4 linked regions of the Arabidopsis thaliana genome follow. The protein of the gene in region 1 interacts with the protein of each later gene in a biochemical or structural test. Each region holds a gene or a part of one and is shown in the gene's direction. Other genes may lie near its edges.

What was found.
Region 2: the proteins of ABI1 (region 1) and PYL13 form a complex in vitro, tested with the Arabidopsis thaliana proteins (one study listed by BioGRID).
Region 3: the proteins of ABI1 (region 1) and RCAR1 form a complex in vitro, tested with the Arabidopsis thaliana proteins (one study listed by BioGRID).
Region 4: the proteins of ABI1 (region 1) and HB6 form a complex in vitro, tested with the Arabidopsis thaliana proteins (one study listed by BioGRID).

The regions. Positions count from the first base shown.
Region 1 is NC_003075.7:13,218,095-13,226,978, reverse strand, and holds ABI1 (Protein phosphatase 2C family protein), read left to right. Parts: upstream 1-4,602; 5' UTR 4,603-5,150; coding exon 5,151-5,699; intron 5,700-5,769; coding exon 5,770-6,060; intron 6,061-6,191; coding exon 6,192-6,297; intron 6,298-6,389; coding exon 6,390-6,748; 3' UTR 6,749-7,064; downstream 7,065-8,884. Other genes in the region: RPS2 (NB-ARC domain-containing disease resistance protein), read right to left, coding at 1-2,383; MEK1 (MAP kinase/ ERK kinase 1), read right to left, coding at 7,284-7,379, 7,473-7,518, 7,602-7,825, 7,934-8,116, 8,216-8,440, 8,527-8,661, 8,748-8,832. UniProt on the Arabidopsis thaliana protein: Key component and repressor of the abscisic acid (ABA) signaling pathway that regulates numerous ABA responses, such as stomatal closure, osmotic water permeability of the plasma membrane (Pos), drought-induced resistance and rhizogenesis, response to glucose, high light stress, seed germination and inhibition of vegetative growth.
Region 2 is NC_003075.7:10,251,040-10,257,767, forward strand, and holds PYL13 (PYR1-like 13), read left to right. Parts: upstream 1-3,319; coding exon 3,320-3,814; downstream 3,815-6,728. Other genes in the region: LSH9 (LIGHT-DEPENDENT SHORT HYPOCOTYLS-like protein (DUF640)), read left to right, coding at 1-330; AT4G18630 (hypothetical protein (DUF688)), read left to right, coding at 6,139-6,728.
Region 3 is NC_003070.9:137,859-145,523, forward strand, and holds RCAR1 (regulatory component of ABA receptor 1), read left to right. Parts: upstream 1-4,011; 5' UTR 4,012-4,279; coding exon 4,280-4,423; intron 4,424-4,565; coding exon 4,566-4,781; intron 4,782-4,852; coding exon 4,853-5,056; 3' UTR 5,057-5,403; downstream 5,404-7,665. Other genes in the region: AT1G01350 (Zinc finger (CCCH-type/C3HC4-type RING finger) family protein), read left to right, coding at 1-112; AT1G01355 (Putative endonuclease or glycosyl hydrolase), read left to right, coding at 655-683, 739-920, 1,005-1,256, 1,345-1,487, 1,630-1,710; HTR12 (Histone superfamily protein), read left to right, coding at 5,915-5,966, 6,076-6,119, 6,206-6,251, 6,335-6,369, 6,457-6,493, 6,589-6,701, 7,069-7,146, 7,274-7,349 and 1 more. UniProt on the Arabidopsis thaliana protein: Receptor for abscisic acid (ABA) required for ABA-mediated responses such as stomatal closure and germination inhibition.
Region 4 is NC_003071.7:9,523,503-9,531,914, reverse strand, and holds HB6 (homeobox protein 6), read left to right. Parts: upstream 1-4,069; 5' UTR 4,070-4,302; coding exon 4,303-4,372; intron 4,373-4,451; coding exon 4,452-4,831; intron 4,832-4,959; coding exon 4,960-5,445; 3' UTR 5,446-5,927; downstream 5,928-8,412. Other genes in the region: RIBA2 (riboflavin biosynthesis protein), read right to left, coding at 1-321, 412-633, 719-1,028, 1,212-1,261; AT2G22440 (non-LTR retroelement reverse transcriptase), read right to left, coding at 1,998-2,443, 2,681-3,005. UniProt on the Arabidopsis thaliana protein: Transcription activator that may act as growth regulators in response to water deficit. Interacts with the core sequence 5'-CAATTATTA-3' of promoters in response to ABA and in an ABI1-dependent manner.

The DNA.
Region 1 (8,884 bases):
GGAGTTTCTGAACCCATGAGACATTCTTCAGCTTGTTGCAGTGTGAAATGTTTATGCAACGGATATTCCGCAGACAATCTTGGCTTACAGAATTTCCCCACACTCTGGTTAAGTTGTGAAGGCTGTGTAACGTCAGAACCTCTAGACTCGGAAGCCAATCATTTTCAAAATCTGCGGGTGTGACCAGGTACTCCAAGTCATGGCAACTTTTAATGCTAAGTCTTCTCAGGTTCCTGCCATGGTTAGTGAGTGATGGGAGATTGAAGTAGAGGAGTTCATTGCACTCTTCAACGTGGAGATGCTGTATATGTTTATGCAAAGCACCGAACTCGAAGAGAGTTTTTAGGGTCTCCAATGAGAGAACAGTGATACCGAGTGTGGTTAGGTTTTCCAAGTATTCCAAGTCAGCGAATCCGAGTTCTTCTGCTTCATCTTCTCCAAAGCTCTGCAGTTCCCAACCGGCGTAACTGTAGTACAAGTTCAGAACCTCGAGCTTGCTCAGCCAACATATGGCATCTCGTGGGATCGTCTGAAGAAACTGAGTTCTTTGTAGGTCCAGATGCTTCAGTTTTCTAAGATTCCCAAGCTCCTGTGGCAATACACTTATCTTTGTTCCTGACATAGACAGATGATACAACTCCACCAAATACTTGATAGACAACGGAATCTCAGTGATACTTGTGAACGACAAGTCCAAGACTCTGAGAACAGGCATATGCATGAAAAACCCTGTTGGAATCTTCTTCAAAGAGCTGTTCTGTTGGAGCATCAGTGTTGTCAGTTTCGGGCATATGAGTTTTTCAGGCAAGGTCTGGATTCTGTTATCTAACAATGAGATCACCAACGCTTGTCGCCAGTTTTCTGCTTTAGGAGCTTCAGTATGTCCCATGCTAGGCTCAACTAGGATCAGCTCCTTATAAGTCCCCTGTTCAGATGCCATCCACAATGCAAAGCTTCTGACCACATTATGCATCTTCACCTGTGTTTTCTCATCTCCGGTTTCCAACAAACATGCCGCTTTCAGATCCCCAATGAGAAAATATCCCTTGTAAATGGTGTTAACGCCATGGGAGCTGGTGAGAAACCCTTCGCCGACCCAGTACTCAACAAGCTGCTCGATCTCTATAGAATGTTCTTCTGGGAATAAAGCGCAGTACAAGAAACAAGACCGAAGCAGATCACTCTCGAGGTTGTCGTAGCTGAATTTCAAAAGGGCAAATACATAGTTCATACCCTTCATCTCTGCTGGAAATCTAGTCAGAACTTCACTAGCATGGATCCACTCTTCTTCTGTCTCTCTATGAGCCATGGCTCCTCCTAAAGTGATCAACGCTAGTGGCAATCCTCCACATTTACTCACTATAATCTCCGCGAGCCGGCGAATTGATGATGACTCTAAAAGATCTTTTCTCCATACCTTACTACAGAACAGCTCCCACGCGTGTTTCTTCTCCAGAAACTCCACTCTCAACTTGTATTCCGCACCCATATTGTTGCATAATGCTATAGACCGTGTCGTGAACATCACCTTGCATTTGTTTTCCCTGTCAGGTCGAGGAACTCCAGTTTTCTCCAAGTCTATCTCTTCCCAGACATCATCTAGCAACAACAAGAAACGTTTCTGTCTCAAAGCTCTGTATATCTTCAAAGCTCTGTTTTCGCCGGTCTCCTTCTCGTCCCAAGATAAACCCAACCGTGCTCCAACGGCTTGCTGAATTGTACACTCGCCGAATTCTCTGGACATTTGAACCCAAATCAGTACATCATACTGATGTCCTTTTGTGATCAGCTCGTTGTTAATGCTCTGCATTAACGTTGTCTTCCCAACCCCACCAGGTCCATAAACACCAATGATTCCTCTTTCTTCTTCTTCACTGAGAAATTCCAAAACCTGTTCCATCATCGTGGTATTTCCGACAACGGACTTGATGGGTATCTCTCTACAAGTTACTTGAATTGACCCGCCATCTGTTTTGATAGCTTCAGAGCGTTCTCTCAGCTCACCAATGCTCTTCAATATGGCAGAAACCTTCTTGCACAGTTTGTAGTCGGCACAACCGAAACAACTGAGGTATCTCCTCCTCATTCGCGTCCTCTGTTCCCGACGCCTAAACCTCACTAAAAGTAGGGCTGTTTTAGTCTCCGTTACTTGCACCGCACTAAGCCACTCTCTGGCACGATTTGAGCAGCTTCGTCCCTCTAGACCGTCTTGTTGGATCCGTAAAGTCAGGTCATCACGTATGGCCTTCAAGTCACCGATGGCTGTTTCAAGATCAGTGATGGCTTGTCTAAGATCAGTCTTATGTCCTCTTCTCTCCGCCATATTCATAGATTCACACAACACCTGAGCACAGCCAACGATAAGAGATGAGATGAAATCCATTTCGATGATTTCTCGCTCTTTCTTTTACTTGTCTGAGCTAACTAACTAATAAAGATGAGGTGTTGACTCATAAAGATTAAAGTAAAGTCAACTTTAATAAAGCTGTCTTGCTTGCTTGTATGACTTGGTTCAAGAAACGAGTAGAGAGAGATAGGAATCTTCCTCGAAGTCTCGAACTGTTGTTTGCATGCTTGTAATTTCTACTGGCCAAGTGAAGGCCCGATAACAAAATTGGCCCTCTAAGAGCCTTTTAATGCCTATAGGGTTTTTTTGTTGGGTCAACAATTCCAATGATGGTGCATTTTTTTTATGTTGAATATATACAAGATTTGTTGCATATTAAAAAGACTGGTCAAGTAAAGTGTTTCACCGAAAATGGGAGACATCAAGTACTTATGAATGATGATATATGTACCGTTCTTTAGAATTAGTTCTGTGACTTTATTACGAGTTAGAACAAACCTACTTCTACTTCTCTTATCCACTTTGCCCGCAATCGCAAGGAAAGCTAACAAATTCAATTAATCACACATTAAACAAAATAAATTACTAGTGTTCATATTTGTCTCGGCTTTCTTCTCAGTTTATCTAAAAGAAATAGCTTTCAATAAAAAATCAATGTTTTTTCTACTTTTGTAATAATTTGTAAAAAAAAAACGGTAGATGATTGGTACATTGTATTTGAGGTGTCTTGGGTATTTTGTCTCTTGCCCATCATCCAAAGCCCACTTTCACACATCTCCCATATGAATAACATATCATTACACATTGTCCAAAGAAAACCGCACAAGTGGCATCAAACATATGGAACATGAATAAATACTTCTTTTTTATCTATCTGTTGACGAATAAATATTTATTGAGATATTAGAGAAAATAGAATAATAATGAGGAGAGGAAAAAAGAGAGTTTAAAGACAAGATATTTACGGAATTTAATGGGACGAAAGAAAAATAATATAAAAGGGGGACCTGTCTTTGTCAGTGCAATGAACCTTTTTTTCTTTCGATCAAATCTCTCCCGCCACCCAACTAACACATCTTAAACCGTACACGTCACCCTCTCTCCTTCCCATTTTCTTCGTCTACGTGTCGACCATCCACCGGTTTTTGTTTTCTGCTAAACGTGGGACCTATTCACATTTTTATTTTATTTTAAAAAATTGGACGGATTCTTTCATGTTCTTTGGGTCGTTGCATAATTATGTCCATGAGTCTATCCATCAAAATACCTTCGGAATCATCTTTTTATTTTATATATATACTGCGACAACAATAATTTTATGTTTTGTACTGTCTTTTCTGGTCAATAAAAAAAACTAAAAATTTGGTCGAATTTAATGGACTTCCATGACCAACTCTTCATTTCCCTTAAGGATAAATTGAGAAGAAAATTATATACTGGAATTTGAAAAAGCTTTATATAATTGTAACGTATTTTTATAATTGCACGACAAATCTCTTTTCTTGATTTTTTGTATGAAACTACAAAGACCAATTTTTCTAACAACTAAGATTCAGTTATTATTTTTGGTCACATAAATAAATGAGACGATAACTTCATAATGGTTTTGGTTTTGAGTTTGACCAAAAATGGTTTTCAAGATAAATAATTAGATGAATAATGAAACGTACCCCTTAAATAACAATTATTTAGATATTTTACCGGTGGTCTTTCATTTTTCCCGAATATAAAACATTGAATTCTTATCTAAAGGACAAAGTATTGTTCTTATTCTGAAAATGACACAAATTTAAAATTTTTATTTAAATCTATGAATATCTAAATGGTATATTATGTTTGGTGTTTTTTAGTCCAATGATTAGGAATTACGAATAATGTTTTCGTAATTCAAACTCTATTTATTTAGATTGAAAACTATATGACAAATAAAATAATTGCAAAACAATACAAGATTTAACTCGGACTACGACACGTCATTTAATGAAAGTCATCTTTATGAAAATATAAAATCCATTAAACTGATGACCTAACTAAAGTTAAAAGCAAACATATTTTATTTTGTTTGACAAACAAAAAAGAAATATATTTCTCCCAAAGAAAAAAAAAACCAAAAAACTTTATGTTTGTTAAAAAAATAAGAAATGATAAAAGCATTTTTTTTAAAAAAAATGTTGAATATAGGAAGTCTGAAGCAAGTGTCTTTTTATGAATTAAATAGTTTAAAATTTCAAGAACGAAACATCTCCCCTTATTACAAAAAATAAATAAGCCAAAAAAAGTATCACTTTAATAATGTAATAAAATAAAGTGATATGTATATAAGTATACATACATAAATAGTAGATTCGAAGCAATTGTTGCATTAGCCTACCCATTTCCTCCTTCTTTCTCTCTTCTATCTGTGAACAAGGCACATTAGAACTCTTCTTTTCAACTTTTTTAGGTGTATATAGATGAATCTAGAAATAGTTTTATAGTTGGAAATTAATTGAAGAGAGAGAGATATTACTACACCAATCTTTTCAAGAGGTCCTAACGAATTACCCACAATCCAGGAAACCCTTATTGAAATTCAATTCATTTCTTTCTTTCTGTGTTTGTGATTTTCCCGGGAAATATTTTTGGGTATATGTCTCTCTGTTTTTGCTTTCCTTTTTCATAGGAGTCATGTGTTTCTTCTTGTCTTCCTAGCTTCTTCTAATAAAGTCCTTCTCTTGTGAAAATCTCTCGAATTTTCATTTTTGTTCCATTGGAGCTATCTTATAGATCACAACCAGAGAAAAAGATCAAATCTTTACCGTTAATGGAGGAAGTATCTCCGGCGATCGCAGGTCCTTTCAGGCCATTCTCCGAAACCCAGATGGATTTCACCGGGATCAGATTGGGTAAAGGTTACTGCAATAACCAATACTCAAATCAAGATTCCGAGAACGGAGATCTAATGGTTTCGTTACCGGAGACTTCATCATGCTCTGTTTCTGGGTCACATGGTTCTGAATCTAGGAAAGTTTTGATTTCTCGGATCAATTCTCCTAATTTAAACATGAAGGAATCAGCAGCTGCTGATATAGTCGTCGTTGATATCTCCGCCGGAGATGAGATCAACGGCTCAGATATTACTAGCGAGAAGAAGATGATCAGCAGAACAGAGAGTAGGAGTTTGTTTGAATTCAAGAGTGTGCCTTTGTATGGTTTTACTTCGATTTGTGGAAGAAGACCTGAGATGGAAGATGCTGTTTCGACTATACCAAGATTCCTTCAATCTTCCTCTGGTTCGATGTTAGATGGTCGGTTTGATCCTCAATCCGCCGCTCATTTCTTCGGTGTTTACGACGGCCATGGCGGTTCTCAGGTAAAAGATTGGATCTTTTGATTAGGGTTGTTTACAGTTTGCAGAATCTGATTTGGTTGTTGTTGTGTAGGTAGCGAACTATTGTAGAGAGAGGATGCATTTGGCTTTGGCGGAGGAGATAGCTAAGGAGAAACCGATGCTCTGCGATGGTGATACGTGGCTGGAGAAGTGGAAGAAAGCTCTTTTCAACTCGTTCCTGAGAGTTGACTCGGAGATTGAGTCAGTTGCGCCGGAGACGGTTGGGTCAACGTCGGTGGTTGCCGTTGTTTTCCCGTCTCACATCTTCGTCGCTAACTGCGGTGACTCTAGAGCCGTTCTTTGCCGCGGCAAAACTGCACTTCCATTATCCGTTGACCATAAAGTAAGCATATATAGACTCAAGATCTATAGTTGGATTGGTTGTGAACTTGTGATAGGTTTTTAGTTTTCAAGATGTTGAGTTAGAGAGGTTTATGAAACCATTTCTGATGTGTGCTTGTGTTATGTGTGTAGCCGGATAGAGAAGATGAAGCTGCGAGGATTGAAGCCGCAGGAGGGAAAGTGATTCAGTGGAATGGAGCTCGTGTTTTCGGTGTTCTCGCCATGTCGAGATCCATTGGTAAGCTTTCATTATATTTCTCCATAAAGCTTCTCAATGGTTCTTGAAATAGAAGAAACCTTTCTTCTTACAAACATTTATCATTGTGACAGGCGATAGATACTTGAAACCATCCATCATTCCTGATCCGGAAGTGACGGCTGTGAAGAGAGTAAAAGAAGATGATTGTCTGATTTTGGCGAGTGACGGGGTTTGGGATGTAATGACGGATGAAGAAGCGTGTGAGATGGCAAGGAAGCGGATTCTCTTGTGGCACAAGAAAAACGCGGTGGCTGGGGATGCATCGTTGCTCGCGGATGAGCGGAGAAAGGAAGGGAAAGATCCTGCGGCGATGTCCGCGGCTGAGTATTTGTCAAAGCTGGCGATACAGAGAGGAAGCAAAGACAACATAAGTGTGGTGGTGGTTGATTTGAAGCCTCGGAGGAAACTCAAGAGCAAACCCTTGAACTGAGGCAGAGAGGGTCCTTTTTCTTAATTTTTAAAATGAATATGGGTCTCTCCAAGAAAAAGTATTTACTATTATTAATTTGTGCTTATTTTTTTAACTAACAAGTTATAACCATATGGAGATAATGAAGCTTAATGTGTTAAGCTCTTTTGTCTTGACTACATTCTAAAAAGCCCCTTGTATTTTTCTTCCCGGGCTAATTGTAATATGGTTACAACATACATTAAGATGTAGTATTATTGTTTATGCAATTACTTTCAAAACTTTACATACGAAAATAGAAAGATACTTAAACTATGTACAAAACAAAATGTGTATAATGATATGAACTACTATATAAGTATATCCACCACTAGCAGAGAAACATAACTGATGATAGTTGTGTTTATAATAGTGATGTGAAAAGTACACACATTAAATCAAATTTTGTAGACAAGTCTCTTAAGTCATAACATCTCGTAAATTTATCTTTCATAAAATCTCTTCTAGTGGATATGAAATAATAACTTGGAGGTTAAAAGATTGTTCAAACTCGGTTCTAGTTAGCAAGTGGGGGAATCAAAGATCCTGCGTCGGTGAAGTAAGCCGAGAGATTTGTATCCGAATCTTCAAACATCTTTACGAACTTGTGTTCCTATTCACCAAGATGGAACCAGAAAAAAGATCGTTAAAAGTAGTCCAAGACAGTACAAGGTGAAAGACTCAGAGTCTTATATGATTAACGCACCAGAAGCTCCTTTGCTGATTTTCTGTCCCTTGGATCTTTTTGTACACTACACAAGTTAAAGCACCATTTCAAATGCCTACTCGTTATAGCAACAAAAATGACATGACAACTGGTCGAAATCTGTCTCACCATTGCGAGATGAAGGAGCAAAACTCTGGAGAAAAGAGATTGGAAGGTGCACAAGGAGGCGGGTTTTCAACAATGGCGTCCACAAGCTCGTACACGCTACTCCATCCTTTCTTGTGTTCTGGAGGAGTATACGGGAATTTACCCGTTGCACATTCGAGCAAAACCAGTCCCAAGCTCCAAATATCGCTCTTGTTACTGTACAAACTCCCGCTGATTCTCTCTGGCTGCAAAACATGATAACAACACCAGTAAGTCGTATAAAACCACTTGTAACTCTGAAAATTGAGTTTGTATGTATATTGAGTGTTGAGAGGTGAATGGAGGAGACTCACAGACATATAAGGGTATGTGCCCACGAAAGAATTAGCAAGACTACTTGTGCTTGTCAAGATCTTGCTGACACCAAAGTCTGTGATCTTGACTTCACCTCTATGATTGATTAGCAAGTTTGAAGGCTTTAAGTCCCGATGAATGATTCGCCTCTCATGATGAATATAACAAAGACCTCGAAGAACCTGCGTTTAGTAGAGAAGAATGAGCTTAGTTATGTGTTTTATTAGAGAAGATAAAAATAGAAAACCGGTAGAGATGTTTAAAGATTTCGCGTAGAGTACTCGCTTGCAGATGGCAGATAGCATGTTTTCAGGAACTTTTCCGACTTTCTTTAACAAGTCTGCAAGGGATCCACCATCCATGAATTCCAATATGATTGAAACAAGACCGTTGTGGTAGAAAGATTGATAACATGAGACAAGATATGGACATTGCGAGCTCAAGTTTATTCTCAGCTCCTGAGAAATCGCCCGACATGTTGATTCTTCTGTGTTCAATTGAATGACCTGAAAATAATATCATGTATCTTTGTGAACCAAGAGAGAAGAAAACACTAGAAAAAGAAGTAACAACAAGAATCTGAATCAACGACCTTAAGAGCGAAAAACTGTTGAGTGAGTTTGTGTTTGACCAACTGGACATTACCACTACTTCCTTTGCCAATGACTTTGATCACTTCTAAATCTGCCAAACTCAATTGGTTGTCCAATGGCTCAATAGGAGGTGGCTGCAAAAACCAAAAACATCCAAATTCAATCATGGAGTTACATAATGTACGAAAGGAAGTGAGATCTCATGAATAAACAAACTTACAGCTCCTGGTTCGGACAGAGACACGGTCTGGATTCCATCTTTGTTCACTCGAAGATCTCCATCTTTAAACGTTCCACTCTGTGTTCTAATCCAATTTTCAATGTCAGAAAACTCCATTCAAACAATTTCAATTCCTA
Region 2 (6,728 bases), 3.0 Mb from region 1:
ACCAAAGTACATCATCAAGCTTGTGTCTTCTTCGGACAACCGGATCCACCAGGTCCGTGCACGTGTCCTCTCAAACAAGCTTGGGGAAGCCTAGATGCTTTGATCGGACGGCTAAGAGCTGCTTACGAGGAACACGGTGGCGGGTCACCTGATACTAACCCGTTTGCAAACGGGTCGATCCGGGTTCACTTGAGGGAAGTGAGAGAATCTCAAGCCAAGGCTCGTGGGATTCCGTACAGGAAGAAGAAAAGGAGGAAGACTAAAAACGAGGTCGTTGTTGTCAAGAAGGATGTTGCAAACTCTTCGACTCCTAATCAGTCGTTCACTTGATAAATTTATCATATAAAAAATTTCCAATATAGGTAATCAATTTTCAATTCTCTTTTTTTTCTCTCTAATTTAAAGTTTCGTATGATCTTTTAAAAAAATTGAAATTATTCTCTTTGGATATCTAGACTACAAAACTTATAATATCGGATTAATAATAGTGATTGATTCCATCAAATTTTCCCGATTTTCTATTGTCACTTACTTACCCTAATGCGTGTGTGTATATATATTTCTAAACTAATTTTGTACTCAAAATTGGATATGATTAAGAGAGAATAATATATCTTTCAAATGTAGCTTTTTTTGTTATTAATTAGCTATAATAATTAGAGTGTGTCCCAACTGTGAATGTATTTAAATGACAACATTTCTGTACGTTGCATGCATCATGATGTATAAACATACACTGGAATACATGTTGAAATGCACAAGTAAGTAAATAATATTTCTTACACTAAATGTATATACAATTAAGCATTACTTTTATGTATATATAGTTATATATATGCACACCTATACAAATATGTACATGTATATATGTATTTTATTATATAATTATTTTCTATTGGAAGCATGATAATATGGGGAACTAGATTACAAGGTCTAGCGAGTGTAGCCCAATAATGTAAATAAACAGCTCATGAGTTTAAAATAAGTACTCAAGCAATTAGGAAAAAAAACGAACATTTTGAATAAGCGCTAGCATTACCAAATTAGGATTTATATAAAACGAACTTAGGATTCGAACCGGCAATTGATTAAGTTAAAACGATCGAGTCGGTAGAAAGAGTTTTCCGAAACCCTAGAATCCGGAGAGAGGCTATATATAGTGATGTACATATATGTCAATTAATATATGTTTGTAGCTTTTGTAGCTAGCTATATATTAGCCATAGACCATAGTATTTAATAATGATGGCTTGGAGCCATGAGTTTTAGCATAAGCTTGTTTTAATATGATTCCATGTTGCCCTGTTTCTTTATATACTAGTATACTATATGTTATTCATGAGTTTGGAAGTATCGGTTTGTTACAAATCGGAAGTTTTGATCTATCATATCTACTGTAGTTGCTAATTAACTCGGCTTACTTGCGCCCGTCTCATTTTCTTTGAGTGTAAAAATTTGTTGATCATCAATAAATAATTTTACTGATAGAGATAAAAAAAAATAAAAAATTTGACGTATTCTTTTCTGTTAGACCGGATAAATAGACATTCAATCAAAGGTTTTTTTTTTATTAACCTACAAGGTAGTGAACTCCATTTGTTAGAACAACTTCCATTACCTTCGAACTTTTTTTATTCTTAATAACACAGAAAGTTGTGATACGGTTGCAAAACAATTTATCAATGGTGCCGATAAGATTGTTCAGAGGGTGGCAATGGGCATTGGTTTCACTTGCTTACCATAAAGAAAGCAAGTTTGAGAAATACCAAAATTGCGATTCTGTTTTTGATTGTGACTTGTGAGCCCCAACAATATATGTATATATTTCAGCTTGAGCTCAATTCCCATATATGCTACAACTCTAAGACGCAATTTATGAAAATTTGGATTTTAAATAGTCATCATGTCCATGTTTCTCGAGATGGATATCTAAGAGAAGAATAATTTGAATTTTATAAGTTTATTAAGTCATATTTTTAATACTTAAATCCAAATATAATTTGTTCCATGTATTTTATTTTTATTCTTATAATACACTTATGGAAATCTATTCTATTTTACTTCATATCTTTACCCATTTTTAATTTGCAATTTACCTTTATAATCCACTTATAAATATATATAAAAAAATCTATTACATTTTATCTCATGTCTTTACAGATTACACATTGGAATTGAGTTTTTTTTTTCATCTAAAACTTTTGTTATTTATATAACCATGGAGGTGACACAATGCCGGCCGTTAAACATGATCTTAGTCTAGGAAGGCTAAACATAAAACCAAAGCCAAGAAAAGGACTAACAAACGGACTGGATAGTTTGAAACCCAAAACCAAAACAGAATGGATTTTGTGCTGTGTGGGGTGAAGCATAAATGTATAAATGGAAAATATCATCATTAAAGTTTGGGCTTATACGGGCCTTATTTCTAATAGGCAATAGACTGATGGAACATTGAATATGCCTACCCTGGATATGTAGAACTTGCATGGCTCTCGGATTGGATACGTAGAACATTACACTTATGAAGGAAAAAAGATTGGATTCTTTTTTTTTCTGGTCGGCAACCAATTAAGAGAAACACTGTTATGTTTGTAAACAAGTGTGTGTTTCGCTAAATTCCATTGTGTGCTTTTCCGGTTTAAATGACATCTGTATTTACCTCGTGGGCAATGACACATCTATCTATATTTAGCTCCAAAACATTGCTGCAGCAAATTTCCAAAATAGACCGACTAGATTTTAATATAATATTGGTAATTTTTATCAGTTGGTAAGATATTTAATTCTTCGTGAAAAGATACTCGTATATCTCTCTTTCTGTTTAAATGGTTGATATAGTCAAAAGAAAAACCTTCAAAGAGGGTTTGTTAAAACCATATTCCCTATCACTCTTGTCAGAATACCCTTCACAGATGGTTTTGTTAATCTTTTTGATAAAACCAAGTTCCAGAATATGCAAGCCTTTTATCAAAAAGCAAAAGAAAGTTTCTAAATATGCCAACAAGATTGTGTAATTTTTCACTATACAAGGCAGTCAATACTTGTGTACAAGTTTATATTGTAAAATGTTTTTTGGTTAGTATATAGTAAGAAGAATTCGAATCGAACTCTAAAGTTTAATATTACATGAAGAATTCGTAAATAAATTAAACAATATAAAACACTATAAAAATATTTTAGTCGGTGGCTTGCCTTCATTTATATGTACGTAGATTCGTTCGATATGCTTTAAAACAAGTGAATACGAAAATTCTAAAGTAAGACACGAAAATACACGTCGATAAAAGACAAACCCATTAGAAAAACAAAACAGAAAATGGAAAGTTCTAAGCAAAAACGATGTCGCTCTAGCGTAGTCGAGACCATTGAAGCACCATTACCACTAGTGTGGTCCATCCTACGTAGTTTCGACAAACCACAAGCTTATCAACGTTTCGTCAAAAGTTGCACCATGCGCTCTGGCGGCGGCGGCGGCAAAGGAGGAGAAGGAAAAGGCTCCGTCCGGGACGTGACGTTAGTCTCCGGCTTCCCGGCGGATTTCAGCACGGAGAGGCTCGAAGAGCTAGATGATGAGTCTCACGTGATGGTGGTAAGTATTATTGGCGGTAACCATAGGCTTGTTAATTACAAATCGAAAACGAAGGTGGTCGCGTCGCCGGAGGATATGGCAAAGAAGACGGTGGTGGTGGAGAGTTACGTGGTGGATGTGCCGGAAGGAACTAGCGAGGAAGATACAATATTTTTTGTTGATAACATTATTCGGTATAACCTTACTTCACTTGCTAAGCTCACAAAGAAAATGATGAAGTAAGCTCTATATGTTTAAGCTAATCAATAAACTAATCGTAGTTATAGTTATGAATCATTGGATTAAGAAAAAAATGGATCGTTATGGATTAGTTTTTAATCTTTAAGGCTTTTAGCATTGCAATAATAATAATAAAAATATAAAGAATCGGAATAATATGCTCGTGTGGTTTCTTTCTTCCGTGATTGTAATTGTCTCTTTTCTCCTACTCTTTTATGAAGAGAAATAAAATGAAGGTTATTTCTACATTTTTACAATTAGGAATCTTTGAAATAATGGTTTTAAATTGTTGACTCAGTTGGTTTAGTTACTAAATATACTGATTTGTATTGCTGACAACAAAAGTTAGACTAAATACATGTTTGAAAATTTTCTTGATAATTCTTTGTCCATTTTGCATAATGCATAGTAAAAGGGCATCATGTAAGATTCTTAATTTGAAGTTCTAAACTAATTAATATCAATACTTTAGTATAATATTATTAGGTTGGAAGGTATTTTACACTCAGAACAGAAAGTATGATGACCTAAACTGTAGATCTCGTGAATTTCATGGCCGTTTGACTCAAATCTGTTCGGAGGTTATGAATTTATGATGTCCGTTGAATCATTGAGCTGTTGAACTAATGGAGTGGTTTACTCTATAATACTTTGGTGTGTTTTTATCAAAAACCGACCGAATCAACAGATATAATTTATTTTGAACAAGTTGGTGAAAGACAAAATAGAGGTTCTATTGATCTAAATATAACGGTGAAGATTGGAAATTTTCATGTTTTTTCGGGAATTGGGCCTTTATGAATGGACTATTGGGCCTTGCTATTTCAAAGCTTGGGTGTTGGTGGGGCTTGCTATTTCAAAGCTTGGGTGTTGGTGGGGGAGTGTGAGTGGTTGCCACGTGAAGGATACTTATTCCCTTGTCCTTTTCATTCCCGCAATTTTAGGGATTTTGGTCAACGAAACTTATTTCACTTTCTTTCAGTAAATCGATTTTTTTCTCAGGTGTATATTTCTCAAGTTATTGTCTACTTTACAAATTTTCATGGGTTTCTCCTCCTCTTTTTGTATTAGATAGATTAGAATAAATGTTCGCTTGACCAGTCGTTAATTTATTTATAGACACTTTTGAAGAATTGGTTATTAATAAATGTAGTACCTACCAAAACATAAGTAACGACAAACAGATAGTTAAGTTATGATTAAAAGAAATTTCTTCAAATACCATTTCTATTAGTTTTTCTCTCATTTTTCATACTATTATTCTTCATTCTTTTTTTGTTTGTTTAGCAATTAAAAATCAAAGTTTTGAATATTGGAGACGGAAAGAGGTGGCCGAGTAATGTTTTTTCCTCTTAAAACGATTACTATACTACCTAGAAAACAATTACATAATCTAAAAGTAATATACTATACACTATGTAATCTAGAAGTGAAATGTTAATTTATAGTCAATATCTAAGGCCGGTTGTTTTAGCAAATTATAAGTCAATTTTTTGGAATGTTATGAGTAATTCAAAGTAATTAAATTATATATCGTAATCGAGCCCCATCATCCGTCGAGGCGAATGCCGCGACTTTTCTTTCAAAGACTTTAAACAAAGTAAACAATTAGTGGTGCATTCGGAGAAAAGAAAATTAGTGCTTACATTATAAACGACGTTGCGTGGCTCGGAAAAGGACACAACAACATGTGTTACATTACCAAAGTCGGTAATTTGGCTCACATAAATGTCTTTTCTCACTTTTTCTTTTATTTTGTTTGTTTCATTACTTTTAGAGAAAAAAAAAATACAGTTGAAACTTGAACCACAACTACTCCTCACGTTTTGCCTTGAGGAATATTTCACCTTATTAGGGCCAAATTTGTGTCTCTGATCTTCTTGTACTCCGATGTCTAACGACATCGTTATGTATTCACAATACATAAAATTTCCAACAAAAAGAAAAGTAGTTGATCTCAATATCTCATCATTAATTTTCAATCAAATCTTTGTGGGGGATGGGATTTATTCTAAGCTCAATTATAACTTATATAAGAAATGAAAACAACCAAACACAAGGTTAAAGAGAAAGTCTCTTTATTGACAATTCTTTAGTCGCACACTTATAATAGATTCATCTGCTATTTTCCTAAACTCCAGCCTTCAATCTCGGTCCTAGACATTCGGCAATCATTTACACACATATATTAATACATTAACTCTATTCTTATTTTTCCGATTTTCTTACTTTAATAAGAACAACTACAATCTCAAACACATAGCAAGAGAAGAGATACACAAAACAAAGACTCTGTTTGTTATTCTTCCTTCTTTTTGTTTTCAAGAATGGAGGGAAAGAAATTGAATTTGTATGCTCCATTACCATCAATCAGGCGAATTCCGTCTATGATAGAGCGTTCAAGTGAGTTAGAGAATAAGAAGACGACGATTACAAGACCAGAGCTTCGATCATGTCCGAGCACAAAACAAGAAACGCCGGTTTTTGTATTACCAGACCAGAGCTTTGATCATCTCACAGAACCAGCTTCAATTCCTTTTATGTGGGAACAAATCCCTGGAAAACCAAAAGATGACATGGCTACATTGATTCAAGAGTCAGGTCTACTAGAAACCGATGATGAAGAAGAAGACGAAGTAGATGAAGATTTGGATACGGTTTCTTCAAATGTAAGCTTCTCTGTTAACTGCAGCACAAGTGGAGTTAGCGAAATCGAGAAGACCGGTGAGAGATCTGATTGTGATGAGAAGTCTAGAGAAAGTCTTGATCTAATGATGTCAAGATTCTTACCAGCTGCTAAAGCAATGGCTCTTCAGACACATCAGAAACATCAATCTTCTTATAACTCTTCAGAGCAGAAGCTAATCACTCAGAACAGAGAAGCTCTCGTAGCTCGTCAAAGAAGTCAACTGGTTGC
Region 3 (7,665 bases), on another chromosome or scaffold:
GAACAAGAAGTGCTTTGTGTGTAACCAACCAACAATGGGGATTTTCAATGCAGCACATGAGATCAAGAAGAGAATGGCTGAAGAACGGAGTAAAGCTGAACAAGGATTGTGAAGTCCTTGTTTCACTGGACAAAAAGGCAAAAACTATATTTGGTTATTTACTTGAGGAAAGCTTTTTGTTTTGTTGTACTCACTGGCCTATATATATTCATTCGGATGACGACGATAGTTGTTTCAAACTGATTAACTTTTAAATTTAAACAAACTGAAAATTGAATCAGAGTTTTGGAGTCAACTTCCTAGTAAATCATCGTCAGAATAATAGTCGTCAAACTCGATATCCTGATTCACATATTTTGATATAGAAATTTGCTTCCCAAATTGAAAACGCGGTCGTTTAATAAACAGGCCAAAAGTAAAGTTCCTTACCAAACTTTTTAATCTAATGGGCCCGTGCGCTAAGATACAGTTAATGGGCAACGCGAATCGGCCCATAAATAAACCACACCACAAGTAGCGGTAACAAGGTAGTTCTATGGGGTAGAAAACGCATCTGAACAGGTAATTATTTGTCCTACAAGGTTCGATCGAATGTTCTCATCTCTTTTTTTCTCTCTGGCTTTCCGATCTTCTAGATTTTCCAAGTCTTGAATGATGAGGAAGGCGAAGGCTGTGGCCTGTGGGTGAGGTCGTGCCAAAGTCTAAGGCTGTAACACGCGTCTGGTGGGACATCAACAGGTGTCCGGTTCCGGCTGACGTTGATGTTCGCAGGGTCGGTCCGTGTATAAAACGGGCTTTGGAGAAATTAGGCTACTCTGGTCCTCTCACCATCACTGCCGTTGGGATACTAACAGACGTCCCTCATGACTTCCTCAGACAAGTCCATTCCTCTGGAATCGCTCTTCATCACGTTCCCACCGGTTTATATCTTCTCATCCTTCATTTTCTAAAATTAGGGTTTTGCTTCTATTTGCCCTTTTTGTTTTTGTTTTTAAGTCTTATAGTTTCCGAAACAGCTCTCTCAGGGATTGGGTGGGCTGTGGTTAAGTGGACCTGGTATAATCAACCTCCGGCTAATTTAATGCTCATATCGTACGAGCATATCTACTTGACCACTCTTGACATGCTAGGTAGGATCGGATACAACACTGTTCGGTCTATTCTTCCAGATGATCCTCAACAAGCCGCATCCTCCGCCTCCCCTTCTACAGGGTCTTTCCTCTGGGAAAGCTTACTGGCAAGCTTACCAGCAGCAGGTCCTTGTCCTCTCTCTCTCTCTCTCACACTCAGTACAGTGTTGAAATAGTTAAGCTGTGTCTGACCTAGTTATCTCCACGGACGCAGATGATATGGATTCAGGGGCACCTCAGGAGGACAAGTGCGGCGAGATGGGTGAACCTGCCTTGCTTTGTGAGCAATGCAGATTTACTGTCCAAGGCTTTGAAAACTTCTCCACGCATCTCAAGAGTGAAGAACATGCACATGAAGTAAGCATCCTAGCCAAAAACGCAGACTTGTTGTGTCCATTTGAGTCAACAACCTCTTACCGCGAGTTTCCCTTTCTCACTTAATTCTTCCAGTTATGTTTTGCCTAAATTTGACCCCATATTTTGTTTTGTCAATGAGCAGTCTCAATACTACCGTAACGAAGATGATGAAACCGATGGAGACGACTACGTACGAGACTCTGAAGACGACGAAGAAGAGTAGTAAGAGTTGTGTGTGTGTTAATGTTATCTTAAGCTATCTAATCCTTTTTATGTTCAACATCTTCTAAATCCTCGTAAACTCTGGTTTTCTTTGTGTGTTAACTGATAATAATGGTGTTATCTTAAGCTATGAGTAGTAGTAAGAGTTGTGTGAGTTAATGTTACTGATTTCTCCAACGAATTTGCTTTTTTGGAGATTTTGTCCCAATGAACTGCAACAACAAAAGCAACTGGTGAGAAAATGATGACTTGTTTGAATTGTGTTAGAGTTCCAGATACATATGCTAGAGATGCAACTAGAAACTGGTCATATCTCAGCTTAAAATAACTACAAAGAGCATAACAAGCTGGCTAATACTTAAAAATGTAAAATCAGATTCAACAGAACCCAATGGTTTTGTGTGTGTTTTCAGACCTTTAGATTTCGCAAAGCCCACCAGAAACAATGGTTGCAAATACTTTCTTCTTTCTCAGTTCTAGTAAACTATAAGCCGAAGCTGTTTTTGCTTGTATTCGTTTGCCCATATTGTGATGGTCTTTAAAGATTGGGCCTTCTTTGGTTCATCTAAATTTGAAGCTTTTTCCTTTTGTTAAATTTGTTGAAACAGTCAAAGTTAGATTAAACCAGGACAAATGAATGAAACGATAAATTCATAACTTTTTACTGCCAGCATTATCAGAAGAATGTCGTTAATGTTGTCTTTTTTTCTTTCACTTCCGTCTGTTTTTTTTGTGGTATTGGTTAATTCGAAAAGATTCGGAACCTATTGGCCGGCAAAAAAGTTATCCAAATGAACAAAAAGAAGAATTACACGTGTCAAGTTCACGAGAAACGACATAATACGTGAACATGAAAATGACAGACAATAAACCAATGAAAATATGACACGTATATTGGTTTCCTATTATTTAACCGTATTTAGCTCATTGTCGCTGTCACTAAAAAGGCTCCTTGTTTTTATCTTGAAGCAGTTAATAATTTACGCCAAAGTCGTCTTTTGCGTTTAAGTTCGCATGCCTAGCTAGTGCCAAAGGTGATCCTATCCGATAAGCTTTGTTTTGGGTAAATTTTTATCTGATAAGGTTACTGTAATTATCGTCAATTACCGCTCTTTTAAGTACTATATTATCACTTAACATTTTTTAAAAAATATGATTGCAGAAAATGTTATATATAAACTAAATCCCTATTTTATCATAACGTCAATTTCAGACAATTAATGAGATATGTAAGCATAAACCATATTCATATTGAACAAGAAAACCTCCGGTTACAATTATATGTGTTGTTTAAAATGGTTACAAAATCGGAAGATTGTTCGTTATGAAAACCTTAAACCATAATTAATACATATGTTAGAAGATAATTAGATAAGTAATCATTTAACTAGATTTATCTAAAAAGTGATTATGTTGTTTTTGTTTGAGAAAACCAAGTAAAGGTGAGTCTTTTCTCCTTTGGGAAAAACAAAAGTAGAATTCAAAAAAGAAAGAAATAGAATTCACTAATTATATAGTAATCCATTAATATTACTGGTTAGAAAGCGTAATTAGCGGCGGTGGTTATCAAAAGTGACTTCCACCATATGTTTCGAAAGCTTGAGTTTCACGAAGAAGATGGAGGAGGGGCAACTTTAGACTAGTGGAGATGAATCGAATGATGATTTATTGTAGATTCTTTGTGGTATCTCATCTTTCCTTCGTATGAGGTGTGATTCACAACAAATACAATTTAACAAAAACTAGTTTGTCTACATTCGGTATGATATAATTAAGGACTTTGTCTCAAACAGATTAAAGTTCTTGTTTCATGATTTTAGATTGTGGATGCCTTGTACCAATCTTCTTGTAGAAATGCCTTCTCCTCCTAGAAGAGAAATTACACCTTACGTGTCGTACATGACTACATGGAACAGTCACTTTGCAGATAGGATATGGTGTTAGACATTTAGCTTGATACAATTAATTAATGTTTAACAACAAGGTTTAAAGGCAACGAGAGCTATATCTAATAAGATGTGGTCTAAGACATATGAGACCTGATACATGGAGAATCACTCATTTATAAATTTCTGGTATATTAACGACATTTTGTGTCTAAAAAATTAGCTATTATAATGAATATGGTCTAAAATTGAATTTAAATTAACAAAACTATCTATAAAGTTTGAAACGATCTTACCTAATCAAAACAAATAATTATCTAAGCAATCTGTTTTGTTTTGTTCGGATTATATAGGTCCCCAAAACGTCATACAATAAAACTTGCTTAAATATTTTGTTTTTTTGTTACATTAAAAAATTAGTATCTTGTTGTGTTTTTGTTTGGTTTGAAAAGCTGAAAATGTGTGAAGGAGAAGAAGGAAGCTATAAAAAAGAGTTTAGGTACAAAAGTAAAAAGTTATTATGTCGGTGGGTTCATTAAAAGAAACCAAAAAACATAAACAAGTAATTTTGTTTTGGCATAACGAAGCATCTTCTTCTTCTTCCTTGTATTTATTATCCATTTCCAGAGATTCTCCCTTGTGAGATAACAACGAAGAACGAAAGAGAGAGAGAGAGAGAGAGATATGATGGACGGCGTTGAAGGCGGCACGGCGATGTACGGTGGTCTCGAGACGGTGCAATACGTACGGACGCATCATCAACATCTGTGCAGAGAAAACCAGTGTACCTCTGCTCTTGTCAAACACATCAAAGCTCCTCTTCATCTCGTAAGCTTCTCCAATCTACCACTAATTTCACCCTTTTCGTACCATTTTCTCCATGATCCGTCAATTTTGATCCCAACCATCGATTTAGGGTTTTTTCCCCCAAATCTCTGTTTAACGATTGATTATAATTGATTTTTTTTAGGTTTGGTCACTTGTACGGAGATTTGATCAGCCGCAGAAATACAAACCGTTTGTGAGCAGATGTACAGTAATCGGTGATCCTGAAATCGGCAGTCTTAGAGAAGTCAATGTTAAATCTGGTCTTCCTGCAACAACATCTACTGAGAGATTAGAACTTCTTGATGATGAAGAACACATCCTCGGTATCAAAATCATCGGTGGTGATCACAGACTTAAGGTACAGCGAGAGAAATCAAATCTCATTGATGTTTGTTTATATGCAGATTCTCATTGATTGTTTGTTTGCAGAATTACTCGTCGATTTTGACGGTTCATCCGGAGATAATCGAGGGAAGAGCAGGAACGATGGTGATTGAATCGTTTGTAGTTGATGTTCCTCAAGGTAACACAAAGGATGAGACTTGCTACTTTGTTGAAGCACTTATCAGATGTAATCTCAAGTCACTAGCAGATGTTTCTGAAAGATTGGCTTCTCAGGACATTACTCAGTGAACTACATAATCAATGAACAAGGGCATTGAAGTGAAGTATCAATTCCAGTTTGTGATATAATCAATATTCTTCAGGATTTTTTTGGTTTGGCCTAGATATATATATAGATATCTATCCTCGGTAATGACCAGTCTAAAAAGATGTACATATTGTCCCAATGGTGAAGTTTTGATGTAAGATATCTCCTGGTGGTTTGTTATTTGTAGATATTTTTGTAAACAATGTAAATGTGAATGGTTTATGATGTATAATATATAGTTCACAAAAGATGTTTCTGTAGACTTCAGATTCCACTTCTCTATTGAACAGAACCTATGATTGGATGCTGAGAACTTGTAAAGAATCTGAGGCAGAAAGTTGAAAAACTGTGTCAATTTCATTAACTTGAAAAGATGAGCATAAATTGGGAGAGAGAGAGAGAGACAAAGATTTTGAATTGAGGTTTAACGGTAAAACACACAAAACCTATTCCCCTCTGTTTCCAATTTTCATCTAAACAAACAGGTACATATTTGAATGTAATATTGTATACAGACCAGGGGTAAAACAGGAACTAAAGAAGGCTAACAATCGAGTCGAACCCTCTATGTGAAGCCACAGGTTTAGTGCAAATTGTAATAAGTTGTTCAGAGAGACTCTTGACTGAAACAAATTGTGAAGCAGATTCGATTTTAAAATCAAAATTTGAGTGTCGAGCGGGAAAGTAAAAGTTCCGCTCCAATCTTCTAATCTTTTCGTATCTAGCGGGAAATTTCTCAGCAGGTGACTTTCATAATCGCAGTTTTCGTCGATTCTCTTTTCCGATTTTACGATTCCTCTCTCTCTCTCATGGTGCGATTTCTCCAGCAGTAAAAATCAATGGCGAGAACCAAGCATCGCGTTACCAGGTCACAACCTCGGAATCAAACTGGTATCTTAAATCTGCTTTCTCTTTCAATTTTTACTTCTGATTTTACCCAGAATTTTAGGTTTTTTATTTCGATTTTGTTAACCCTAGATTTCGAATCTGAAATTTGTAGATGCCGCCGGTGCTTCATCTTCTCAGGCGGCAGGTCCAACTACGGTACGGCATCTTTTTCCGTCTTAGGGTTTCCAATGTTTCTTCCTTTTATCGTTATGATCAAATTTGTTTATCTATCGAAATTGAAGACCCCGACAAGGAGAGGCGGTGAAGGTGGAGATAATACTCAACAAAGTGAGTTTTTTATATTTGAAGTCTTTTTTTTCCCTCTTTTCATCTCTTTTGTTTGTGAAGTTATTCTTTTGTAACATCTGCAGCAAATCCTACAACTTCACCAGCTACTGGTACAAGGGTAAGATTTTTGTGACCATTGCTTATGAACTGCTTCAACTTTGATTTCGTTATTAAGCTGACAAAATTCTCGTTTTGGTTTGTCAAGAGAGGGGCTAAGAGATCCAGACAGGCTATGCCACGAGGTTTGTTTTAAAAAAAAAACCAATCTCTTGTGATATCCCTGAGAATACAGGACACTTAGTGTGTTTAAAACTAATCTTCGGTGTTGTCCTTGTAGGCTCACAGAAGAAGTCTTATCGATACAGGCCAGGAACCGTTGCTCTAAAAGAGATTCGCCATTTCCAGAAGCAGACAAACCTTCTTATTCCGGCTGCCAGTTTCATAAGAGAAGTTAGTTACTCTTTTTCTTACCAGCCATAATAAGTTTCACAGCTTAACAATATTCATATATACTAACAGAGGCACAAGCCTTTTGGTGTTTAATGTGGCTAGTTTTAGGATTTGCACACCCCACACATATCTGAGCATCAATGCAGTGTACATAGTGAGTGATATAGCAATTTAACTAAAATTCAGAGTAATCGTGAGGCCAACCCTCCTTGTTTAAGGAGTGTGTAATCTAGTTTGTCTTTGAGGTTATGAGCTCATAGATTCAGAACCATATGATTCCTGTAGCTACAAAACTCAACATGAATCGTCAGTGATGTGGAAATGCTGATTTGTGTTACAAACAAACTATTTTACATTGTTTTTCCAGGTGAGAAGTATAACCCATATGTTGGCCCCTCCCCAAATCAATCGTTGGACAGCTGAAGCTCTTGTTGCTCTTCAAGAGGTACCAATCCTTCAACTTTTTCTTTATACGAATGTATGAATATAGATATAGAGATAGTCACACATTTCAACTAATGTCATTCCCCTTGATGACCAATCAACCTAATCACACAAATTCTTTGTGGTAGGCGGCAGAAGATTACTTGGTTGGTTTGTTCTCAGATTCAATGCTCTGTGCTATCCATGCAAGACGTGTTACTCTAAGTAAGTACTCTAAAAGAAGACATTTTTCAGTCTCAACTTAGGAATCACAAGCATACATTTTATATCCCTTTGAATCATTAGTTACTTGAATATCATATATAAAATGCTTATCTATATCTGTTTTTTGTTCATATCAGTGAGAAAAGACTTTGAACTTGCACGCCGGCTTGGAGGAAAAGGCAGACCATGGTGATAGAAAACTCACTCACTATTCACATCTCTTACATTGTAAGTGAGGATCGAATAGTTAACAACAAGTGTGTCGTAGGTTGTATAAGGTTATTCTCTCCTTGTCTCTTGGTGATGCATGTCCTTT
Region 4 (8,412 bases), on another chromosome or scaffold:
GATTAAATCAGCGATTGAAATTAATTTCAAGTTGTTCTCTTGAGCGAATTGGCGGAGTCTTGGTAATCTAGCCATGGAACCATCATCATCTACAATCTCACATAAAACAGATACTGGTTCTAAACCGGCCAACACAGTCAAGTCAACAGAGGCTTCTGTATGCCCTGCTCTTTTAAGAACACCACCTTCTCTGTATCTCAAAGGAAAAATATGACCAGGACGATTGAAATCTTCAGGTTTTGAATCTTTTGATGCAAGGGTTAATATTGTTTGCGCCCTATCACGAGCTGAGACACCTGTGGATGTTCCCTTTTTTGCGTCCTGGCAAATATTTTCAACATTCTTTTCATCACACACCACTAAGAGTCTTGTGGTTTTCTCAACACCAAAGAAAAACATACTTTTACTCACCACTGAAACCGTGAAGGCCGTGCGGAGTTTTTCCTCGTTATCCTTACGCGTTACCATTAAAGGAAGCTCTAACCTCTCCAAGTCTTCGCCTTTCATGCTCACACACACGATTCCAGTCCCATGCTTTACAACAAAAGCCATAGCTTCAGGTGTAGCCAAAGATGCCGCCATTATCAAATCTCCTTCGTTTTCTCTATCTTCATCATCTACAACAACTACCATCTGCAAGAAAAACGCAAAGCTTTCTCACTTAAGACCTTCCCCTTCTAATAAGACAGTAAGCAGACACGATGCTACTATTACAAACCTTGCCATGTCGAATATCTTCAATAGCTTGAGGAATAGACGCAAATCCATCAGTAGGTCGATCTAAATCAAACTCTTCATCCTCAACTTCAGGAGAATCCATTGTTGTAGGAATCATTTCAGCTGCTAATGTTCCAAACGAAACCAAATCTGGCTGTAACTCAATCCCCATTGATGATCCATTACTCTTAGAAGAAGAGAACACATCTCCTTCCTCAGGTATCACTCTCATTCTAACATTAAACTTCTTCGATATGATCCTAGGATACACCAAGCTCGTTCCAAATGGTTTTGTTCCCTTGACAACATCACTGAAAAACCCATGAAGACAACATAACCATCAAAACCTAAATACATAGATATGTGTTTCAATTGAATCCAAAATCGAATCATAAGCAAACGTAATTTCAAATTCCGAATGATAAACAGATCTAATCAAAAACTATCAATTCAAATTCAGTGAAACAGAGAGAAATACAATTCAATTTGATTACCGGGAAGGCAAAAGATGCGTCGAATCGCACCGGAGAGTAAGCGACGCCATTTTCACCGGAGTTTTGAAGAGAGAGACGACGAGCTTCGAAGAGACTGAACCACCGCCGTAGAATATCACTGTGTGTGTTTTTCGCCGGTGATATTTTTTGGTGTGCTGACGTGGCAGTTGTATAGATATTTTTCCATTTATGGGTAAGCACGAGCGGAACGGCGTCGTTTAGGAATTGAATACGATGTCGTATTAGGTGGAAACACAAATCCCCATTGAGATCATCTTGTGTCGGTGCCTTGACTCGTTTTATTTACGTTTCTATTACACAAAACGTTTTTGATTGGATAATGATTTTCTTCACCAAATTTACACCTTACTTTACAGTTTTCCTCTTTTATTTTTTTTTATAAGAATGGAGCATTGTATCAAAATAGAAAATCGAGTAGATTTTGTTGCATTTTTTTTTTTTTTTCTTCAAACACCATTTATATTAAGTTATCGGGAAGAGACTCTCCGCTAGAGAGAGCCATTTAGGAACCAATGTGCTTACATGGGAAAAAAGGCTATTGCGAGCCCGAGCTTTCTTAGCTAAACAATCTGCTCGAGTATTAGAACTACGAGAAAGAAATCTAATACGAAAAGAAGGGAAAAAACAAACTAAAGAACGATATGAAGCCAATTCCGCTGCAAAAGTCAGCCAATCGTCTTGGTTATCAAGGATAGCAATCAAGTCTGAGCAATCCGAAGCAAAAGTACCAGAAGTATCACCAATAGAGATCATGCACTCCATTGCCTATAACAAAGAGTTAAATTCCGCATGAAGCGGTGATAAATTTCGACGAGTGCTCTTAAGGCCAAGGTGGATGACCAAGTCTTGTCGAACAAGTACCCAACCATGCCCGCTCAATGTGTCATCTACATGCCATGATGCATCGAGTTGACATTCAGGGAGCAAGGTGGACGGGGTCTGAGAAGAACCTACGAACACGATTGGACGAGTGGAATCATCCTCTTTTAGAGTTGCTTGTTTCCAAACAGCTGTCTCTTGAAGTGCCAAAACCAAAGTTTCAGGGGGAGGTTCCCTGAAGTTCTCAAAAACAAAACGATTTTTACTTTTCCAGATATACCAAATTATCCATGGAAAGAGTTCCAACACCTTTTCTCCAATTCCAAATTCTCGGTCACGCCAAAAAAGGAAGTCGAAATTATAGAAGAGAGAGTTTCTAGGGAAAATATTCCCTGAGGTAGGAATAGGCGATAAAGCCCAAATCTGTCTCGAAGGTGGACAATGAAACAATAGATGGTTGATTGTCTCTTCTACTTCTTCGCAACGGGGACAACCTTTATCTGTACCCATATGGCGATATGTCAATCTTTGACAAGTGGCTAAACAACCCGAGATACATTGCCACACGAAATGCATAAGCTTCCGCGTAGTTTTAAGCTTTCATACTTGTGCCTGAAGTGCCGAAACACCTGGTCCCTGAAAAGGGGGGTCACAAGTAGGACGAGAAAGATCTCTCGCGACCCAATATCCTGACTTAACAGTATAATTACCGGATTTAGTGTGAGACCAGCTAAAGCCATCACTCAAGTAGGTACGACTTGGGCGAATCCCTAAAATGAGTGGAATATCAACGGGATCGATCAGTGCTTGGAGACGGTCCAATTTCCACAAATTTGTGTTTTGGTCAATTAAATCATTGACATAGAGTAGAGAATCTCTTATGTTAAGAATGCTCTTTGCAGGCCGCGCTAGGATAGTGGGAATCCATGGATCTTTCCATACGCGAGTCAGCATTCCAGAACCTATGGTCCTCCGAAATCCAAAGACAAGAAGAGGTTTGGCGCATTTTCACCTCTAAAATAAACACAATTTCATGTTGATATTAAGGTTGTTAGTTTCGATCCAAAAGAATTATTTTGACTATAGTTAAGATGATGTTATACCTAAAAAATATAATTTACATTTTATAAAGAAAACAAACTAATTATATTATCAATGGATGATACCGGATATAGGAACTTATAAGGTGAAAAAAATCAAAGAACCAAAAACCCAAAAACTTTCCAAATATATAAGAGAATATAAATATGTTTTGGAGAATCAAAAGAACCTAACCCAAATAAAAAGAAAGCAAAAAACTCACTCTTGTTGCTGTCATCGAGGCCCAACAGCTCTTGTCTCATTTTTGCATTGCCACGAAAGTCATCACCCTATAACTTTAATTTATAAATTTTTTAATGGGTTAGAGAAAATAAAAAACGCATATAATCCAATTATTACAACTTTAACAAATTAAAGAAGACATGATGATTAGATTACCATGCGAATAAGACAAACATATTTTGTAAAATGTTGTCAAAAAAATATCTCTAAAGCATTCATGATTTTAGCATTTAACAAAATAATTCTGATAACCAATTTTGTTACACACTACTATAAAACTTCTAAACACAATATTGTGATGTTATAATAACTTTTACATGGTGAATAGACAATTTCAAAAGATTAATAAAAAGAAAACTCGATTATTCAATTTTTAAAAATAGATTATTAATTTAACACAGAGATTCCTTTCCACGTATAGCTTGAGTGGAGCTGAGCCGATTAGTATAAGCCGAGCCATATTATATCCGTTTGAGATTAATTTTATTTTAATTGATTTTTTAATCTTCTCTTACACGAGTTCCAGTGATACCGGAAGAAACCTGGAGGTAACTGGGTATAGCCGGTGGACCCCCTCAAATTTATTTTAACAAAAAAAAAAAAATCATTTACAAAAGAAAACACCCAAGACAATATCTACTTAACCATGGTTACTTTCTAACCCAACCTTTGAGTTTATTTAAACTGAGAGAAAGTGTGAAACCAAGCTTGTTCATATGGAAAACGCTCATCAACCTCAACAATCTCTCTCCTCTCTCTCTCTGTATATAGAAGAATCTCCATTGTCTTTAATTTCTCTCCATTTCTCTTTCTCTCTTCCTTCAAAGTTTTCTCTTTTCTTGATGGGTTTAAGAGAGTAAAGATCATCAAGTACTATGCATTAAATTGAGAAGTTATTAAAAATTTCGAAAGTAATTAAAGATTGTTGATGATGAAGAGATTAAGTAGTTCAGATTCAGTGGGTGGTCTCATCTCTTTATGTCCTACAACTTCCACAGGTACTTAGCTAATTTTCTAAACAAGTCCTTTAATTAATCTCATCTTTGTTTGCTAATTGTTCTTCTTATGGAATTACAGATGAGCAGAGTCCGAGGAGATACGGTGGGAGAGAGTTTCAGTCGATGCTTGAAGGATACGAGGAAGAAGAAGAAGCTATAGTAGAAGAAAGAGGACACGTGGGCTTGTCGGAGAAGAAGAGAAGGTTAAGCATTAACCAAGTTAAAGCTTTGGAGAAGAATTTTGAGTTAGAGAATAAGCTTGAGCCTGAGAGGAAAGTTAAGTTAGCTCAAGAACTTGGTCTTCAACCTCGTCAAGTTGCTGTTTGGTTTCAAAACCGTCGTGCTCGGTGGAAGACAAAACAGCTTGAGAAAGATTACGGTGTTCTTAAAACCCAGTACGATTCTCTCCGTCATAACTTTGATTCCCTCCGCCGTGACAATGAATCTCTCCTTCAAGAGGTATAAAAATTCAACCTTTTTGATAAAAGATTGAAACTTTTGTTGATTCAAAGTTAAAAAAATTGAAACTTTTTACCAATCTTGAGATTTACAAGAGAATTGAAACTTATGGTTTTGGTTTGATGCAGATTAGTAAACTGAAAACGAAGCTTAATGGAGGAGGAGGAGAAGAAGAAGAAGAAGAGAACAACGCGGCGGTGACAACGGAGAGTGATATTTCGGTCAAGGAGGAAGAAGTTTCGTTGCCGGAGAAGATTACAGAGGCACCGTCGTCTCCTCCACAGTTTCTTGAACATTCTGATGGTCTTAATTACCGGAGTTTCACAGATCTACGTGATCTTCTTCCATTAAAGGCGGCGGCTTCTTCATTCGCCGCCGCAGCTGGATCTTCAGACAGTAGCGATTCAAGCGCTCTGCTGAATGAAGAAAGCAGCTCTAATGTCACTGTGGCGGCTCCGGTGACGGTTCCAGGAGGTAATTTCTTCCAGTTTGTGAAAATGGAGCAGACGGAGGATCATGAGGACTTTCTGAGTGGAGAAGAAGCTTGTGAATTCTTTTCCGATGAACAACCGCCGTCTCTACACTGGTACTCCACCGTTGATCATTGGAATTGAAGCTGAAAACACCACCGGAAGAGATTTTGGATTGGATTAGATGCTCTTTTCTTCTCTGTGGAAAAAACAGAGGAGGGCAAAATGGGAATAAAGTTAAAATTGAAGGGTGAAAGGGCAATTAAGGAAGGGTTAAGTCTGGGCGGGAATAATGATTTAGGGTGAATTTGTAATTATGCTTTTTCTCTAGTGATTTTCGTGCACTTCTTGTAATTAAGGATCATCAGATCAAAGAGAAATTGAGAAGGGGTTAACATGTCAAAGGCAAAAATTCAGCATGGGCTCTTTAAATTACAATTGACCCTTGAAACCTAAATTATACCACTTCTGACCCTTAAATCAATTTTTGAATCATAAAACTACAGTGTGACTTCGTGTATTTAGTTCTAGTGTATTATGGGATTTTTTTCAAAGAGAATGCACCTCAAAGTCTCAGCTTTAAGTCTAATGTTTGGGTAAAAAACACACCGAACTTCAGATCCAAAACCTCTTGATAGAAAAAACAAAATAGATGTGTTATACACTTTTTTTTTTTTTTTGAATCTGTTAAATATACTTTTAGTGTAGTTTGTTTTGTGATTTGAATTAAAACTTTAGTATAAATCAATTTATTACATTTTCGATTACCGGAAAGTATTCATGTCATTAAGGTTTATTTAGTTCAAACTAATTTTTTTATTTCATTCTGTCTTATTTGACCTATAAAATCTAATTTAGCTTAAAAAGGTATTGTCATGTACCACTAATTTATAATTACTAACTTATATACTTTAATTAGTGATATAAGGTGAAACTTAGCAGTAATGACAACAAATAAAAGATGAAGATATATACTTAAAGGCGGTAAAAGATGATAATAAGAATCCGACCAAAAAAAAGATGTGATAAATAAAAAATAGATTGTACAATAAGTTTTAATAATATTTTAAATAATCATAAAATAAAAAGAAATTTGTTTTAATATTTTCTTACCAAAACCTCAACATAATATAGTAAAAAGCCAATAATACAAGACTTTGTACCGTCAGTTTTTTTATGATTTATAAGACCTAGATTTATAATATAATTCAATACCACTGTTATTTACTATAGCTTTGATTGATAATTTATTTGGGGGAGAAACTTTGACAAGAGAATTGGCACGAGGTTATGAAGATTTTTGGAGAAAAAACATTGACAAGACGAAAAAGTTGTTGCTAAGATACAGCTTCCAAAATGCGATTTATGCCATCAGAAATGAGCGAAACAAAAAAAAAAGACATGGAGAGCAAACTTCCCATCTGGAGATGCTAGCAAAGATAATAGATAAACATGTTTGAAACCGTCTAAGTACCATGAAGTGTGTTAGAGTAGAAATGCATACAAGCAAAATTTAAGTCTGGTTTGCGTCTATGCACTAGTGAAAGAAGTTGTGTCTCATTTAAAATGTTTCAAGTAATTGGTAATTATTTGTAAAAATGTGTATTTTTTTGAATATAATTTAACACTAAATTCAAAAAAGTAAAAAATAATTTGGGGTATACCTCTTAGCATCTTATAGTGATAAGTTTTTTTTCTTAACAATATGCATTATACAGATTTAAATTGATGTAGTAACACAATGACTTCATTAGTAAAAACCTAAAAACTACTTCATTATAGAGGTTAAATTCCTCAAAACTGTATAATGTTATTATTTAAACACTATCATTAGGTTTGCTGTTCAGATTTGATTTGATTCGAATTCGAGTTGTCTCGGTTTGTGTAACCAACAGTGTATTGATTGTTAAAGAAAACTAATTATGCTTAAAGGTAAACCGGCAAAGCTTTGGACCACCTCGAATAAGATCATTATAATAATAATACCGGAATCTTCTAATTAATTAGAATTCTTAATGCATCTTTGATTCTTTATATCTTTTTTACTGTTAGATCAACTAAAACATGTCGATGATCAGATCTTCCTATAACATTACTGTGTTAGATTTAACAGTACGATGTATATAATTTCCTGTGTTTTATATTCAGTTATTCACCTTTCTATAGTTTAATCACAAAGCAGGTTTCTTGTGATTGGGCTAAAGACACATTTATGTTGTGAATTGTTTGCTCAACGCATACAATATATCCCAATATACCTAGAGTCGAAGATAGGGAATAGAGTCTAGCTAAGAGATACTATAGTACATGCTACATCGAGGAACATAGATAATCAATTTAGACTATTAAATCATTATGGACCAACTATCTTCAAATTTTGAATATCTAAATTGTTGAAATCCCGACTCAAAGTTACATCAAATTAGCACTTATAATCACTCACTAAAAATAATGAAATAAAAATGAAGAAAAAACTTGATTTCGATATTAACTACTTCTGAAAGAATACCTAAATCTCGACCTCATTGTAGAAATTTTTTTGTAATAGATTTTTTTCTAATCTTTCTGTTTTTCTTTCTCTAAGAGCATTTCCAACTCATATCACTATATTTTATTTTTTTCCAAAATAGAGTAATTTTAATTTGGAGTTTGGGTTTTACTCAAAATAAAGTTTTGAGATAAACATGGAGATAGATCGGAGATCATCTAAGAAAAATTTGCATGTGGTCCAACCAGGGGATTGTGAAATCGAACAGGTTACAAATCAACAACAAAACCAAATACCTAATTAGTTTGGTTTTATGTTTATTCAAATATATTTTTGTGTGTAGGTTTAAAGATTATGCATAACCGAGATGTTGATACTCGATAAAAGTTTTGATATCCGAAAAATAGTTTTTGGTTTGGTTTGCAACTTAATTTTTTATTTTTTTAAGATATTGAGATATTTATTTTGAATCAGATATTTAGCTTTTCACCTATTTTTAAATGGATTGATAAGATATGTTTTTATAATATAACTCAGCATTCTGATATTTTGAGTTAGGTATTTCACTATTCATATATTAAAGACCACGTGAATGTGATTTGGATATTTTACATTTACACGTT